Arabidopsis thaliana: one gene and its partner. The protein of the gene in region 1 interacts with the protein of each later gene in a biochemical or structural test. Each region holds a gene or a part of one and is shown in the gene's direction. Other genes may lie near its edges.

What was found. The genes of interacting proteins can lie anywhere in the genome.
Region 2: the proteins of KTF1 (region 1) and AGO4 form a complex in vitro, tested with the Arabidopsis thaliana proteins (2 studies listed by BioGRID).

Annotation. Positions count from the first base shown.
Region 1 is NC_003076.8:1,194,510-1,202,095, forward strand, and holds the start of KTF1 (kow domain-containing transcription factor 1), read left to right. Parts: upstream 1-1,559; coding exon 1,560-1,773; intron 1,774-2,088; coding exon 2,089-2,336; intron 2,337-2,427; coding exon 2,428-2,583; intron 2,584-2,702; coding exon 2,703-2,861; intron 2,862-2,952; coding exon 2,953-3,036; intron 3,037-3,157; coding exon 3,158-3,225; intron 3,226-3,304; coding exon 3,305-3,712; intron 3,713-3,797; coding exon 3,798-3,852; intron 3,853-3,918; coding exon 3,919-4,074; intron 4,075-4,190; coding exon 4,191-4,334; intron 4,335-4,417; coding exon 4,418-4,520; intron 4,521-4,595; coding exon 4,596-4,745; intron 4,746-4,823; coding exon 4,824-4,878; intron 4,879-5,002; coding exon 5,003-5,067; intron 5,068-5,220; coding exon 5,221-5,290; intron 5,291-5,513; coding exon 5,514-5,564; intron 5,565-5,653; coding exon 5,654-5,693; intron 5,694-5,809; coding exon 5,810-6,937; intron 6,938-7,016; coding exon 7,017-7,586. Other genes in the region: AtRZ-1c (RNA-binding (RRM/RBD/RNP motifs) family protein with retrovirus zinc finger-like domain-containing protein), read left to right, coding at 1-524, 622-904. UniProt on the Arabidopsis thaliana protein: Effector of RNA-directed DNA methylation (RdDM) triggered by small interfering RNAs (siRNAs, 24-nt RNAs).
Region 2 is NC_003071.7:11,536,373-11,544,193, reverse strand, and holds AGO4 (Argonaute family protein), read left to right. Parts: upstream 1-1,802; 5' UTR 1,803-1,967; exon of another isoform or gene 1,968-1,986; intron 1,987-2,687; 5' UTR 2,688-2,690; coding exon 2,691-2,963; intron 2,964-3,122; coding exon 3,123-3,328; intron 3,329-3,406; coding exon 3,407-3,631; intron 3,632-3,707; coding exon 3,708-3,844; intron 3,845-3,940; coding exon 3,941-4,038; intron 4,039-4,137; coding exon 4,138-4,235; intron 4,236-4,356; coding exon 4,357-4,525; intron 4,526-4,621; coding exon 4,622-4,738; intron 4,739-4,819; coding exon 4,820-4,927; intron 4,928-5,016; coding exon 5,017-5,079; intron 5,080-5,147; coding exon 5,148-5,261; intron 5,262-5,358; coding exon 5,359-5,524; intron 5,525-5,614; coding exon 5,615-5,730; intron 5,731-5,807; coding exon 5,808-5,945; intron 5,946-6,039; coding exon 6,040-6,167; intron 6,168-6,261; coding exon 6,262-6,327; intron 6,328-6,411; coding exon 6,412-6,475; intron 6,476-6,556; coding exon 6,557-6,668; and 10 more. UniProt on the Arabidopsis thaliana protein: Together with RDM3, required for transcriptional gene silencing (TGS) by DNA methylation and repressive histone modifications (H3K9me2) of several chromatin loci.

The DNA of each region.
Region 1 (7,586 bases):
GATACTGGTCGTTCACGTGGATTCGGGTTTATCACTTTTGCTGATCGCCGCGCTATGGATGAGTCCATCAGAGAGATGCATGGAAGGGACTTTGGTGATCGGGTCATCTCAGTGAACAGAGCTGAACCAAAACTGGGGCGAGATGATGGAGAAAGTCATGGCTCTAGAGGTGGCAGAGACAGTGGCTACTCGATTGCTGGAAAAGGAAGCTTTGGTGGAGGTGGAGGTGGAGGTGGGCGTGTTGGTGAAGATGAATGCTTCAAGTGTGGACGGGTTGGGCACTGGGCCCGTGATTGTCCTTCTGCTGGTGGTGGTCGTGGAGGACCTGTTGGTGGTTTTTCTTCACGTGCTAGTGCGTATGGAGGATCTGATGGACGTGTTGACCGCTATGCTGACCGTGACCGCTATGTGGACCGCGAACGATACATAGATGATCGATACGACGGTGCTGCACGCTATGGTGCTAGAGACAGGTTTGACAGCAGAGAAGCCTACATACCCCGTGATCGATACGCCAGTGACAGGTTAGAATCAAGTTTCTAATGCAACTCAGATTATTGTAAGGTTATCAAAGTGACTTGCTTTTCTTACATAACTTTATTCTTATCTGTGATTTTACAGGTATGCAGCCCCGGCTGATCGGTTTGCAGGTGGTGATAGATACAGCCGTGGATCAGACCGTTATCCTCCAGGGAGCTATGACAAAGCTCGGTCCTTTGAGAGAGACATAGCCCCGAGTGCAGGCAGTGACAGGTACGGTGGTGGTAGAGCTGGTGGTCCCATCCGTGGAGGAGGAGAGGAGGGAAGAGGGTTTAGAAGCAGAGCCGGTGCTCCTTATGAGAGACCGAGCAGAAGTGGTGGTGGTGGAGCTTATCCGTCGTCGTCCACTTTTGACCGTTATTAAGACACATTAATGAAAGAAAGTGAGAATGATGCTTGGTTAGAGCTCTATACACTCAGTCGTGTGTGTTGCTTGTGGTAATGAATATCTCTGTAAGCGTTATAGGTGTAAAAGACTTGTCTTTTTTATTTATATATGATTAGTTTGCGGACCTGTTTAGCTTTGTATTTTGATCCTTTATTATTTTTGGTTTGTTTTGGACCATAACATGACTTTTGAGCTTCGTCAGTCAATGTTAAACCTTGCACACATAACTAGCCTTTTTAGTTTCATCATCAATGTACAAGAGACGAGTGTCTTAGGCATCCGCATGTTATTCTAAAATTTTGATTTATTGTTTTGTATACTGTACATATTGCTTCATATTGTCAAAATTTTCGTTTTTTCCTATAAGTTCAATCTATTACCAAATAGGCAAATAAAACGAAGCAGAATATTATTGTAGAGACAAAAGAAAAGTTGAGAAATTAATTAAAACAATAAAGAGTCCAAATCGATTGGATAATAAAAAGGCCTTAAAAGAGTAAAGAGTAAAAAAAAAAGCCACTCAAAAGTCGGAAAACAATCACATCTATAAACGTTTTCTTCACTCTCTCTGCTACTTGTCTCTCAAAAGAAATGCAATTGTGAAAGCCCTAAACTAACCGTGAAGAAGACGATGGATCGCAAGGGAAAGGGTAAACAGGTCGCCGGTAGTGATTCGTATTCCGGCGGACAGAAAAGGAAAAACTCCGTCGAATTCAGAGATGAAGGTTTGAGGATTAAGAAGCGCAAAAACCCTGAGGTTCTTCAGTTCTTCGAAGAATCAGCTGAAGTTGGCTACTACGGAGGCAGCTCCGACGAAGATGATGACGGATTAGGTTTCCTTAACGGTAATTTATCATTATCTTCTCTGGGTTCGTTGATTTTCTTCTTTGCATGGTTTCATTGCTTCGTTTCTTCTTTTGTGAGGTCTCCGATTGTGTCTGTTTTTGTTTCTACTGAGATTTTTACCATCTAAAGTGGCGATTTTTAGGTCATCTCTGTCGAATGGCTGATTCCGTGACTAGGGTTTAGGGTTTGCATTTTGTTTTCGTTTGATTTCGAGCTGTTTTGTCTAGTTTTAACTTTTAAGGCTTTCATACTCTTAAAGCTTGAACATTGCAGAAAGTTCCACACTTTATTATCTTACTATTCTTTTGATGCAGATATGGAAGACGAGCCTGAGGTGGAAGAGAGTAGTAAGGCTGGCAAGGGAGAAAAGGGCAAATCATCCTTTGTTTTTCCCAAGGAAGAAGATTTAAACGAGGAGGAATTTGATAGAATAATGGAAGAAAGATACAAGCCAGGTTCTGGTTTTCTTAGATATGCTGATGATGATATCAAAGATGCCATTGAGATGGATGCTCTTGCTCCAACCTCCAAGGATCCTCCTATATGGAAAGTCAAGTGTGCGGTATGTCAAACTAAGGCTTCTTCTACTTATGCTTTATCCCTGTATGACTATGTTCTTACTTCTGCTCACTCCATTTGGTTTGTTCCTGTAGATTGGACGGGAGAGGCGATCCGTTTTCTGTCTCATGCACAAATTTGTTGAGCTGAGAAAGATAGGCACCAAATTGGAGATCATATCTGTTTTTTCTGTGGACCATGTCAAAGGTTTCATTTTCATAGAAGCGGACAAGGAACATGATGTTCTTGAGGTATTGAACATTTAGCATGCCTATGTTGGATTATTCTCGTACTTATCTGACAGTTTGGAGAATGTTGCTTGGGGATAATCATAATGTGTATGTCATTCTGATTTGTCTAATTTTCCTAGGCATGCAAGAGTTTAGTTGGTATATACGCTACTCGGATGGTGTTACTTCCTAAAGCCGAAACTCCAAATCTGCTAACTGTCCAAAAAAAAACTAAAAAAGTTTCTGAGGGAACATGGGCTCGTGTTAAGAATGGTAAATACAAAGGAGATCTTGCTCAGGTACAATTTACTTTGCTGTATATGTTTCCTTTTCATATTCTTTTCTTGGTAAGGCTACCTCCTAATCTGTTTATGTTATATGTCCTTGTAGATTGTGGCTGTGAGTGACACTCGGAATAAAGCACTAATAAAGCTAATTCCGAGGATTGATATTCAGGCCTTGACCCAGAAATATGTAGCTACCCTGTCTCCTCGCTCATTTATTTGTCTGTGCCACTAATTTTGGGACTGTTTTTCTTGTGCGTTCATGTCATCTTATCGTTTGCTCTGTGCTTTACTCTAACTTTCTGGTGCAGGGTGGGGGAGTTACTGTCCAAAAAGGCCAGACTCCAGCTCCAAGATTGATCAGTTCAAGCGAGCTCGAGTAAAAGCTTGATCTTTTCTTCTCGTTTGGTAAATAATTACCACCTTTCTAATCTTTCTTCTCCTCTCTTTTATCACAGGGAGTTCAGACCTCTCATTCAAGTGAGGCGAGATCGTGATACTGGAATAACTTTTGAACATCTTGATAGTCTGATGCTGAAAGATGGGTATCTCTATAAGAAAGTATCCTTAGATTCAATATCTTCCTGGGGGGTTATACCAACGAAGGATGAGTTACTAAAATTTACGCCTGTAGACCGAAAAGAAACTGGTGATGTAGAGTGGATCTCAGAAATTTATGGTGAAGAAAGGAAGAAAAAGATTCTTCCAACCTGCAGAGAGGGTGGGAAAGGAGAAGGATCAGGGGGTGGAAAAGGAGAAGGATCAGGGGGTGGAAAAGGAGAAGGGTCAAGGGGTGGAAAAGGAGAAGGTTCATCAGATTTCAAGTCAGAAAGTAGCTATGAGTTATATAATCTAGTTTGTTTCAGGTAAGGATTCGTCCATAACTGTACTTTTTTGCAAGTCTTTGTTGTAATTTCATATGTTAAGCACTTCCTATCTTTCCCTTTGTAGTCGAAAAGACTTTGGTCTGATTGTGGGTGTGGATGACAAAGGTGACGGTTACAAGGTATGTAGTTATTCACCATCTCTTAATACCCTATGGCCTGTCTCTGATGATTTTCAAATGTTACAGGTTCTGAAAGAAGGTATAGATGGACCCGTTGTAGTCACTGTTGGAAAAAAAGAAATGCAGAATGGACCGTTTGATTCAAAATTTACTGCCTTGGATCTGAACAAGAAACAAATATCAGTAAATGATGTTGTGAAGATTTCCAAAGGCCCATCCGAGGTGTGATTTTAAATTTCATTTTCTTGTTTGTTTCTGTTGCACTTTTCTTTCACATAATTAGGTGAACAATTTTGTGTAAAAACTTATTAGTTTTCATGCATAAATTATAAATTTAGGGTAAACAAGGAGTTGTAAGGCAAGTATACAGAGGGATCATATTCCTTTATGATGAGAGCGAGGAAGAAAATGGTGGATATTTCTGCTGCAAATCACAATCATGTGAGAAAGTTAAACTCTTTACTGAAGAGTCCAATGAGAAGGTAAAATAGCCCAGTCCCTGCAGCTGTCTTTTGATACAATTGCAAGATCTTCGCGTTCTGATAACATTCTGTTTTTTTCTCAGACTGGTGGATTTGATGGTACAGCTTTTGAAGATTTTGTATCCTCCCCAAAATCGCCGCTATCTCCTGAAAAAGAGTGGCAGCCCAGGGAAAGATACAATAGCTGTAAGTATGGAGGGTTATTATAATCTAGCTTCTTTTTAATACCTTAGGCTTCTCATAAATGATAATCAAATGCAGCCAACCAAGGAGACATAGGTAGCACGTATTCTATAGGCCAAAAGCTGAGGATACGGGTGGGTCCATTGAAGGGGTATCTCTGCCGTGTAATAGCTTTACGTTATTCTGATGTTACAGTCAAGCTTGATTCCCAGCATAAAATTTTCACAGGTTTGTTTTCATGCGTTTACTCCTTTGATATAATACTGTTCTATTGTGCTTATGAATATTTTCAATGATACTATTCAGTTAAAAGTGAGCATCTTGCTGAGGTTCGCGACAGAAACACTGTGCTAAGTACAAGGTAAGCTCACATGAATCTCTTGAATTCTTTACTCGGACTCTTGACTCTGTCCATGCATCTTTATCATTCATTGTCCTCTCTGTCAAATTCCTATTTCTCTTACACGCTCTGTTTGCTATAAAAGTGGGGATGCGGGTACTGGTTCCTTTCAACCTTTTGGCATGCTTGGAACAGAAAGCAGCACTGGAGGTTGGTGTTTCTTGTGCACATTCAGAATTCTTTTCAATTTGGCTGCAAATACGTATAGCATACCTGCTTTGTTCTTAAATGCCCTGAACCAGTTGAACATTGCTAGCCATCTATCCTATTTCCTTTTAACTGTTCTCTTTTCTCGTATGGTAGACTGGGCGATAGGAGCAGGGACGTCAAGTGAGGGTGGTAACTGGAATATAGGAGGCCCTTCTACTGACTCGTAAGTCTAATTCCCAATTATGTAGCCAAATGTAGTTATGGTTTCCTTAGATATAATTGGATATTCTTCAAATTTGGATCTAGTTCCTTCAGATATAACTACTGGGATGTAAACAAATTATTGGGATGATAAGCTTTCTTCAACTGATTTTTGTGTTGATTCCTTCTGCGGTTTGGGGTTGTTTTTTTTTGCTGGTTTTTGTCCCTTGATATATAGATTTTAGGCATGAGAGTCTCAATATTGAACGTAACATGGTTCAACTGTGCCGTGAGAAGTGTGTTAATAATAATATGAATTTCTCCCTGAGCTGATTTATTGCCTAAATCGCTGTAACAAAATTTTGATCTCATGTCCTCCTTACAGGAACCCATGGGGCGGCAGTAAGCCTACGTCTGACGTCTCGGTAAGTCTTGAACTTAATACTTTTATGTCGTTACTTTTACATTTACACCTCTTTTAGCGTCAAAGGGCTCAAGGAACTCGCAGATTTCTTAATGTCACAAGGTTTCTACTCTGCAGCCAACAGTTGCAGATGATAATACTTCAGCATGGGCCAATGCAGCAGCTGAGAACAAACCTGCCTCGGCTAGTGATCAACCTGGTGGTTGGAATCCCTGGGGTAAAACACCTGCTTCTGAAGCTGGCACTGTTAGTGGATGGGGAGATACAAGTGCTTCAAATGTTGAAGCTTCTTCGTGGGAAAAACAAGGAGCTTCTACTTCCAATGTTGCAGATTTAGGTTCCTGGGGTACGCATGGTGGAAGCTCTGGTGGTAATAAGCAAGATGAGGACTCGGTATGGGGTAAACTATGTGAAGCTTCTGAATCAAGTCAGAAGAAAGAAGAATCGTCTTGGGGTAAGAAAGGGGGATCAGATGGAGAATCTAGTTGGGGAAACAAAGATGGAAATTCCAGCGCAAGTAAGAAAGATGGAGTTTCCTGGGGACAACAGGATAAAGGCTCTGACGAGAGCAAGGGAGGATCTGCATGGAGTAATCAATGTGGAGATTTTGGTTCAGGGAAGAAAAAAGATGGTTCTTCTGGTTGGAACAAGTCAGCAGAAGATTCCAATGCCAATAGTAAGGGAGTTCCTGACTGGGGCCAACCAAATGATGGCTCTTCATGGGGTAAAAAGGGTGACGGAGCGGCATCGTGGGGTAAAAAGGATGACGGAGGCTCGTGGGGTAAAAAGGATGACGGTAATAAGGATGATGGAGGATCATCGTGGGGTAAGAAAGATGACGGTCAAAAGGATGACGGAGGATCGTCTTGGGAGAAAAAGTTTGATGGAGGATCATCATGGGGTAAGAAGGACGATGGAGGATCTTCTTGGGGCAAAAAGGATGATGGAGGATCGTTGTGGGGAAAAAAGGATGATGGAGGATCTTCTTGGGGCAAAGAGGATGATGGAGGATCGTTGTGGGGTAAGAAGGATGATGGAGAATCGTCGTGGGGTAAGAAGGATGATGGAGAATCGTCGTGGGGTAAGAAGGATGATGGAGGATCGTCGTGGGGTAAGAAGGATGAGGGAGGGTACTCAGAACAAACATTTGATAGGGGAGGACGTGGGTTTGGTGGGAGAAGAGGAGGAGGTCGTCGAGGTGGCAGGGATCAGTTTGGGAGGGGAAGCTCCTTCGGTAATTCTGAGGTTAGTTTGAGAAAAAACTTTCTTATTTTATTTTTGTAGGCTGTTGAAGTCTCATATTGTAATTTTCCAATGACTGTAGGATCCGGCTCCATGGAGTAAACCAAGTGGCGGATCTAGCTGGGGCAAGCAAGATGGCGATGGGGGCGGTTCAAGCTGGGGTAAAGAGAATGATGCTGGTGGTGGATCTAGCTGGGGAAAGCAAGACAATGGTGTTGGTTCAAGCTGGGGTAAACAGAACGATGGTAGTGGTGGTGGATCTAGCTGGGGCAAGCAGAATGATGCTGGTGGGGGATCTAGCTGGGGCAAGCAAGACAGTGGTGGGGATGGTTCGAGCTGGGGTAAGCAGGATGGTGGTGGTGATAGTGGTTCTGCTTGGGGTAAGCAGAACAATACTAGTGGTGGATCGAGCTGGGGAAAGCAGAGTGATGCTGGTGGGGGATCTAGCTGGGGCAAGCAAGACGGTGGTGGGGGTGGTTCAAGCTGGGGTAAACAAGATGGTGGTGGAGGCAGTGGTTCTGCCTGGGGTAAGCAGAACGAGACTAGCAATGGATCGAGCTGGGGGAAGCAGAATGATTCTGGTGGAGGATCAAGCTGGGGAAAGCAAGATGGTGGTGGGGGTGGTTCAAGCTGGGGTAAACAGAACGATGGT
Region 2 (7,821 bases), on another chromosome or scaffold:
TCTTGTATACTATCTTTTACATAATCTCACATTATCTTGTACACGGCCTTGTACATCATCTTATACACCTCTGTTTATACCATCTCATACATCCCTTCACGCACACAGCCTAGTATATTATTTTGTACTGAACCATATGAATTATCCCATACACCGTCTTATACACTACCTCGTATACATTTTTGTAAATTGTCCGATACTCTCATGTGATGTAATTTTAACCATAAATACACATTACGCATATGCGTGGTATGTCATTGGAGTAACTAAAGATTGAATCAAATCCACGGGAAAATGCCATAACAGTATAACACATTAAATTATGATGAAATCATTTGCCATAAGACGGTATGAGAATCTACGGTCTCACTAATACCCTAACATGCATAGAATAAAAGAAGGGATAAATGAAAGCAATTAAACTATATATAGTAGATAATTGAAAACTAAACTAACAAAATTAAGAACTAAAATGAGCAAATAAACAAGATAGATAAATTGAACAATCAAGATGTTAGAAATCATGCAATCGATCTACATATTTTCAAGATAATGAACCTCTAACAATTAGGCTAATTCATGATTAGTGTGGTAAAAGCCTCTAACGTAACTTAGCCAAATTCAAAATCAATTTGGTAAACTATCACAATGGTTAAGAAACAATGCACACAAATTCCTTTAAGTTACAAAGCATCCGATCCTAAATATCACTTGCTAGATGGTTAGGCCAGAAATCGTTTTCTTTCAATTTTCTTTGGGTCTGAACGTAGACACAACTCAAACACCTCTCTTGATCTTGTATGCTTTAAAATGTGGTCTCTTCAAGTCGGGTATCTTGTTTGTTTTGGTTCCGAGTGCATCTGTCTTTAGCCACCTAGCTAGCTAGAAGGTAATTGTAGATATCCATTTTCACCAACTAGCTAGTTTTTGTCCTCCAGCTGGCTTGGCTAACTACGTACGTTCCAAATGTCAAACACTTAAAAACTATATGTCAACACTAACTAACTAAATTTATTATATCCTATATCTCAAGTGTACACAATGTATAATATTAATAACATAATTCAAGCACCTCCTGATCTTATATACTTCAAAAATGTGATGTCTCTCTAAGTGGAGTATCATTTTAATTTTGGTTCCAATTGCATCTGTAATTAACCATATATAGCTAACTTGCCGATGTGTGTAATATAACTAAACTATAGAGAATATTTGTAGATACCCTCATTCTCCAGCTGGCTAGCTATGTAAGTTCCAAATGTCACACACTTGACTATTTGTCTTTCTCCACTTATAACCTTAATCACAGATCAAGAATCATCTCCAATTATAGTTTTCTTTATTGAATCCACCTAATCTCTATTCACCAATTTATAATTTTTATAATTGCGGCTTAGATACCTTTTTAGTCAATAATCAAAAATGGATTCCAGTGAGGATCAACCATAAACGAGATCATTGAAGCACATAAACTAATTGACAATAAGTTACATAGTTTAGGAGACATAAAACTGTTTAAATTTTATATTGTGCTTAATAATAATTTATAATTATTGTAACACAGTTGTTAAATCCATAGTTATGTAGCATGTACGTGTCAATTAATGCGCACATTCAATATTAGAACACAGAAGGTTTGTCTACCACCACTACCAATTGAAATTAAAAAATTTAAAATAATCTAGCGGGACACAAAGCGAAGTCAATAACATAAGTCAACCATTTTAACGGTCAAGATTGTAAGAGTAGCTCTACTATGATGGAGCCGTGACGTAGAGGAACATAACTGAAAGCGAAGAATCCTCGATTTATGCTACTGTCACTGAACCATTTTCCTCTCAGGTCGGAGCTAAATTTTGAGAGTAAAATAAAAAAGCAAAAGAGAGAAATTGAAAAAAAAAGAAAGAAAAATAATCCTCTCTTGTTTCGGCTAGGGTTTCGTTTTTGTTTCATCGATAAACTCAAAGGTGATGATTTTAGGGTCTTGTGAGTGTGCTTTTTTGTTTGATTCTACTGTAGGGTTTATGTTCTTTAGCTCATAGGTTTTGTGTATTTCTTAGAAATGTGGCTTCTTTAATCTCTGGGTTTGTGACTTTTTGTGTGGTTTCTGTGTTTTTCATATCAAAAACCTATTTTTTCCGAGTTTTTTTTTACAAATTCTTACTCTCAAGCTTGAATACTTCACATGCAGTGTTCTTTTGTAGATTTTAGAGTTAATGTGTTAAAAAGTTTGGATTTTTCTTGCTTATAGAGCTTCTTCACTTTGATTTTGTGGGTTTTTTTGTTTTAAAGGTGAGATTTTTGATGAGGTTTTTGCTTCAAAGATGTCACCTTTCTGGGTTTGTCTTTTGAATAAAGCTATGAACTGTCACATGGCTGACGCAATTTTGTTACTATGTCATGAAAGCTGACGTTTTTCCGTGTTATACATGTTTGCTTACACTTGCATGCGTCAAAAAAATTGGGGCTTTTTAGTTTTAGTCAAAGATTTTACTTCTCTTTTGGGATTTATGAAGGAAAGTTGCAAACTTTCTCAAATTTTACCATTTTTGCTTTGATGTTTGTTTAGATTGCGACAGAACAAACTCATATATGTTGAAATTTTTGCTTGGTTTTGTATAGGATTGTGTCTTTTGCTTATAAATGTTGAAATCTGAACTTTTTTTTTGTTTGGTTTCTTTGAGCAGGAGATGGATTCAACAAATGGTAACGGAGCTGATCTTGAATCAGCAAATGGGGCAAACGGGAGTGGGGTTACTGAGGCATTACCACCTCCTCCACCAGTTATACCTCCAAATGTGGAACCAGTTCGTGTTAAAACTGAACTTGCTGAGAAGAAGGGGCCAGTTCGAGTTCCTATGGCTCGAAAAGGATTTGGAACAAGGGGCCAAAAGATCCCCTTGTTAACAAATCATTTCAAAGTCGATGTGGCTAATCTTCAGGGTCATTTCTTCCACTACAGTGTAAGTTTTTGAAACTATTTTGTGTTATTTTTGTTGGATGATTGATGTCACTAGAATGGATGCAGTGTGTATGTTTTTTTGCTACTGTTATGTTGACTTATTCTGTTATTTGGTTCTGAATGATGTCAAACTAATGGGATTATTTGTGGGTTTGTACAGGTGGCTCTATTCTATGATGATGGTCGTCCTGTTGAACAAAAGGGTGTTGGAAGAAAAATCCTTGACAAGGTGCATCAGACTTACCATTCTGATCTGGATGGTAAAGAGTTTGCTTATGACGGTGAGAAGACGTTGTTTACATATGGAGCTTTGCCTAGTAACAAGATGGATTTTTCTGTGGTGCTTGAGGAAGTATCTGCTACAAGGTAAAACATCATCTGACTATAGTCATTACATTGGTTGTGTGCTTTAGTTTTTGTTCTTAGTAAGGATTTTGTGAGCAGGGCTAATGGAAACGGAAGCCCCAATGGGAATGAAAGTCCAAGTGATGGTGATAGGAAAAGACTGCGTAGGCCTAACCGGTCCAAAAACTTTAGAGTGGAGATCAGCTATGCGGCCAAAATTCCTCTTCAAGCTCTTGCTAATGCAATGCGGGGACAAGAATCAGAGAATTCCCAGGAGGCAATACGGGTTCTTGATATCATATTGAGGCAACATGCTGCTAGACAGTAAGTGTCAAGTGTATATATGTATTTTGTTAATCTCATATATTTGTCTTTCTAATACCTATGGTACAAATTGCAGAGGTTGCTTGCTTGTTCGACAGTCTTTTTTCCACAATGATCCAACCAACTGTGAACCAGTTGGTGGTAACATCTTAGGATGTAGGGGATTTCACTCCAGTTTCAGAACAACGCAGGGTGGCATGTCACTTAATATGGGTACATAATTTCACTTGTACTTGATGTTGGTGTTTGATTCTGTCTGTTGTAGCAATAATTTAGTGTCTAATAGTTTATGTTTTGTTCTTATGCTAGATGTTACAACCACCATGATCATCAAGCCTGGTCCAGTGGTTGATTTCCTAATTGCTAACCAAAATGCTAGGGACCCTTATTCGATTGACTGGTCTAAGGTTAACTACTTATTATGATATGTGGCTTTTTCATAATCTAAACATGTTCCTTACCTCTTTTGCTTGGCTTGACACATTTTAACATGTTGTTTTCAACAGGCTAAACGAACCCTTAAGAACCTAAGGGTAAAGGTCAGCCCCTCAGGCCAAGAATTCAAGATAACCGGATTGAGTGACAAGCCTTGCAGGGAACAAACGTAAGATATTCACTAATTTGACTTTGTTGTGAGATGCATTTGTTTCTGTTTTAGTTTTCTGACGTTGTGATCTCTTTCAAAGATAAATGGTTCTCTGAAGTTTGCTTTTTACACTGTCTAGGTTTGAATTGAAGAAAAGGAACCCAAATGAAAATGGAGAGTTCGAAACTACTGAAGTTACAGTTGCTGACTACTTCCGCGATACAAGGCATATTGATTTGCAATATTCTGCGGATTTGCCTTGCATCAATGTTGGGAAGCCAAAGCGACCCACTTACATTCCTCTCGAGGTTTGCCTCTTATACTCATCAACGTTCTCATAGTCATGGTATTAATTTGTTTTCAAAAATCATGCTAATGTATGTAATGTGGTGGAATTTTCGCAGCTCTGCGCGTTGGTTCCACTTCAGAGGTACACAAAAGCACTTACCACGTTCCAAAGATCTGCCCTTGTTGAGAAATCCAGACAGAAACCCCAAGAGAGGATGACTGTTCTGTCCAAAGTAAAGTATCCTGACCGCTTCATAACTGTTCTGTTTTGTCAGTGAACTGGAATTTACATATCTTTGGTTTCATGCTTTCAGGCTCTGAAAGTTAGCAACTATGATGCGGAACCACTCCTGCGATCCTGTGGCATTTCGATCAGCTCCAACTTTACTCAGGTGGAGGGTCGTGTTCTACCAGCTCCCAAGGTATGGTGCGATCGCTTACTTTTTGACATGATGAATTGTTTTTAGCTTTTGCATACATGTAATATTCTCTTGTTTTCTTTGACTGACAGCTGAAAATGGGATGTGGATCTGAAACCTTTCCCAGAAATGGTCGCTGGAACTTCAACAACAAGGTGCTGTTTCTCTCTGCCTTTCTTTGTATTTTACCTGTTCAGAGAGTCTGATTCCCTTTGTTGTACAGGAATTTGTTGAGCCCACCAAAATTCAACGATGGGTTGTTGTCAATTTCTCTGCTCGCTGTAATGTACGTCAAGTTGTTGATGATCTGATAAAAATTGGAGGATCAAAAGGAATTGTAAGCAGGATTCTCTTCTTTTGTTTTTAGTATTCTTGAAAACTTGTTTGTGATTATCAACAATTTAGATACTGCTTCTTTCTGTATTCTGTCCCAGGAAATTGCTTCTCCCTTTCAAGTGTTTGAGGAGGGTAATCAATTCCGCCGTGCTCCTCCTATGATTCGTGTTGAGAACATGTTTAAGGACATCCAATCGAAACTCCCTGGTGTCCCACAATTCATACTATGTGTGCTCCCTGACAAAAAGAACAGTGATCTCTATGGTTAGATATCTCTTAAATCCAGTCTTCAATCATCTTTTTGTTTTATATAATAGAAGTTTCCTTGGATAAATACTTTGAATCCTTCATCAGGTCCATGGAAGAAAAAAAACTTAACTGAATTTGGCATTGTTACTCAATGCATGGCTCCAACGCGGCAACCTAATGATCAGTATCTTACTAACTTACTTCTGAAGATTAATGCAAAGGTGATCTCTCTCCTTTTTTCTCTTTTGGAAATGGTTTTTGCTTCTTGTGTGCAATCTCTGATAACATATAACTACAGCTTGGAGGCCTGAACTCAATGTTAAGTGTAGAGCGTACACCTGCGTTCACTGTGATTTCTAAGGTTCCAACCATTATCCTTGGGATGGATGTTTCACATGGATCTCCTGGACAGTCTGATGTCCCGTCCATCGCTGCTGTAAAATGTTTACTCACTGCTGTTGTTTGCTTTTTAGTTTGGCTAGTTCTTCAAGACTGATATTTAGTTGTCTCTTTTGTTATGATTAACTTAGGTGGTGAGTTCTAGGGAGTGGCCACTGATATCCAAATATAGAGCATCTGTTCGGACACAGCCTTCTAAGGCTGAGATGATTGAGTCCCTTGTCAAGAAAAATGGAACTGAAGACGATGGCATTATCAAGTGTGCACTTACACTAACTCTTGATGTGGCTTTTGTTTAATCTTTGCATGAAGTCTGGTTTAAGTATCTATGTAACTTTATTTGTTGATTGCAGGGAGTTGCTGGTAGATTTCTACACCAGCTCGAATAAGAGAAAACCAGAGCATATCATAATTTTCAGGTATGTTACATCAGAGCTTTTGTCTCTTCATTTTTCCCATCTTTATTTTCTCATATTGGTTGTTTCGATGTTTAATGCTTCTAGGGATGGTGTGAGTGAATCTCAATTCAATCAGGTTCTGAATATTGAACTTGATCAGATCATCGAGGTAGTTGAAACTTCAAAATAAAAGTTTCTCAGTGTAATTTTCTTCTTCTGTTAGTACTTAATTGCATTTCTCTTTCCTCAGGCTTGCAAGCTCTTAGACGCAAATTGGAACCCAAAGTTCCTTTTGTTGGTGGCTCAAAAGAATCATCATACCAAGTTCTTCCAGCCAACGTCTCCTGAAAATGTTCCTCCAGGTGATTGACAAATCTATATTATAACCTTTTTTGACACATAGCTGATCTCTATCTCATGGGGGTTTTGGTTATTTTGCAGGGACAATCATTGACAACAAAATATGTCACCCAAAGAACAATGATTTCTACCTCTGTGCTCACGCTGGAATGATTGTAAGTTTCATCTATCAACTCAAAACTTTATTTGTTAATGTTTGCTCCTCTGAATCGTTTTAATACTCTTTATGTTCTGAATTAGGGAACTACCCGCCCAACTCACTACCACGTCCTGTATGATGAGATTGGTTTTTCAGCTGACGAACTTCAGGAACTTGTCCACTCGCTCTCCTATGTGTATGTAGTCTCTTATTCAACCTTCATTACATTTTTTGTGACAACTTCGATTGTGATGATAACAGAAATTATCTGATTTCTTTCTTTGGCAAAATTCCAGGTACCAAAGAAGCACCAGTGCCATTTCTGTTGGTAATTACCATAACTGTTTTCTCTACTCCATCGATTTAAAGTCGTCTTCATTTGTTCTCTTAATAACTGACATTTTAATTTTTTGTGCAGTTGCGCCGATCTGCTATGCTCACTTGGCAGCTGCTCAGCTTGGGACGTTCATGAAGTTTGAAGATCAGTCTGAGACATCATCAAGCCATGGTGGTATCACAGCTCCAGGACCAATCTCTGTTGCACAGCTCCCAAGACTCAAAGACAACGTCGCCAACTCCATGTTCTTCTGTTAAATGAGCAGCCCTACTTGGCTCAGTAAGTAAGTAGTAGTTCAATAGGCTATCTGACTTTCAGCTTAGGATCTCTCTCGGCCTTGAAGCCAGGCATCGACACTAAGGCTTGGAATGTTTTTTGTGACTATTATCGCCAGCCTTGTTTGCCTGTTGGGGTTTGAATATGCTTTTGTCCCCCTTAACAATTCGGTTGTTTAATTAAAGACTTATTGTAGTGAATATCTAAGTTCAGGAAGTTACCCTTTTGTCTAAATCGTTCTTGCATTGGAAACAGACTACATACATAACCTAGACAAAGCAAAGCCTTTTGTGTAGTGCTCATGATTAAAAACTGAAACCAAAACAAATGACAGAACCTAGTCAAAGTTAAGAGTTCACGACTTGTTGTAGTGGATATTTCTGAAGTTTAGGACGTCACAATA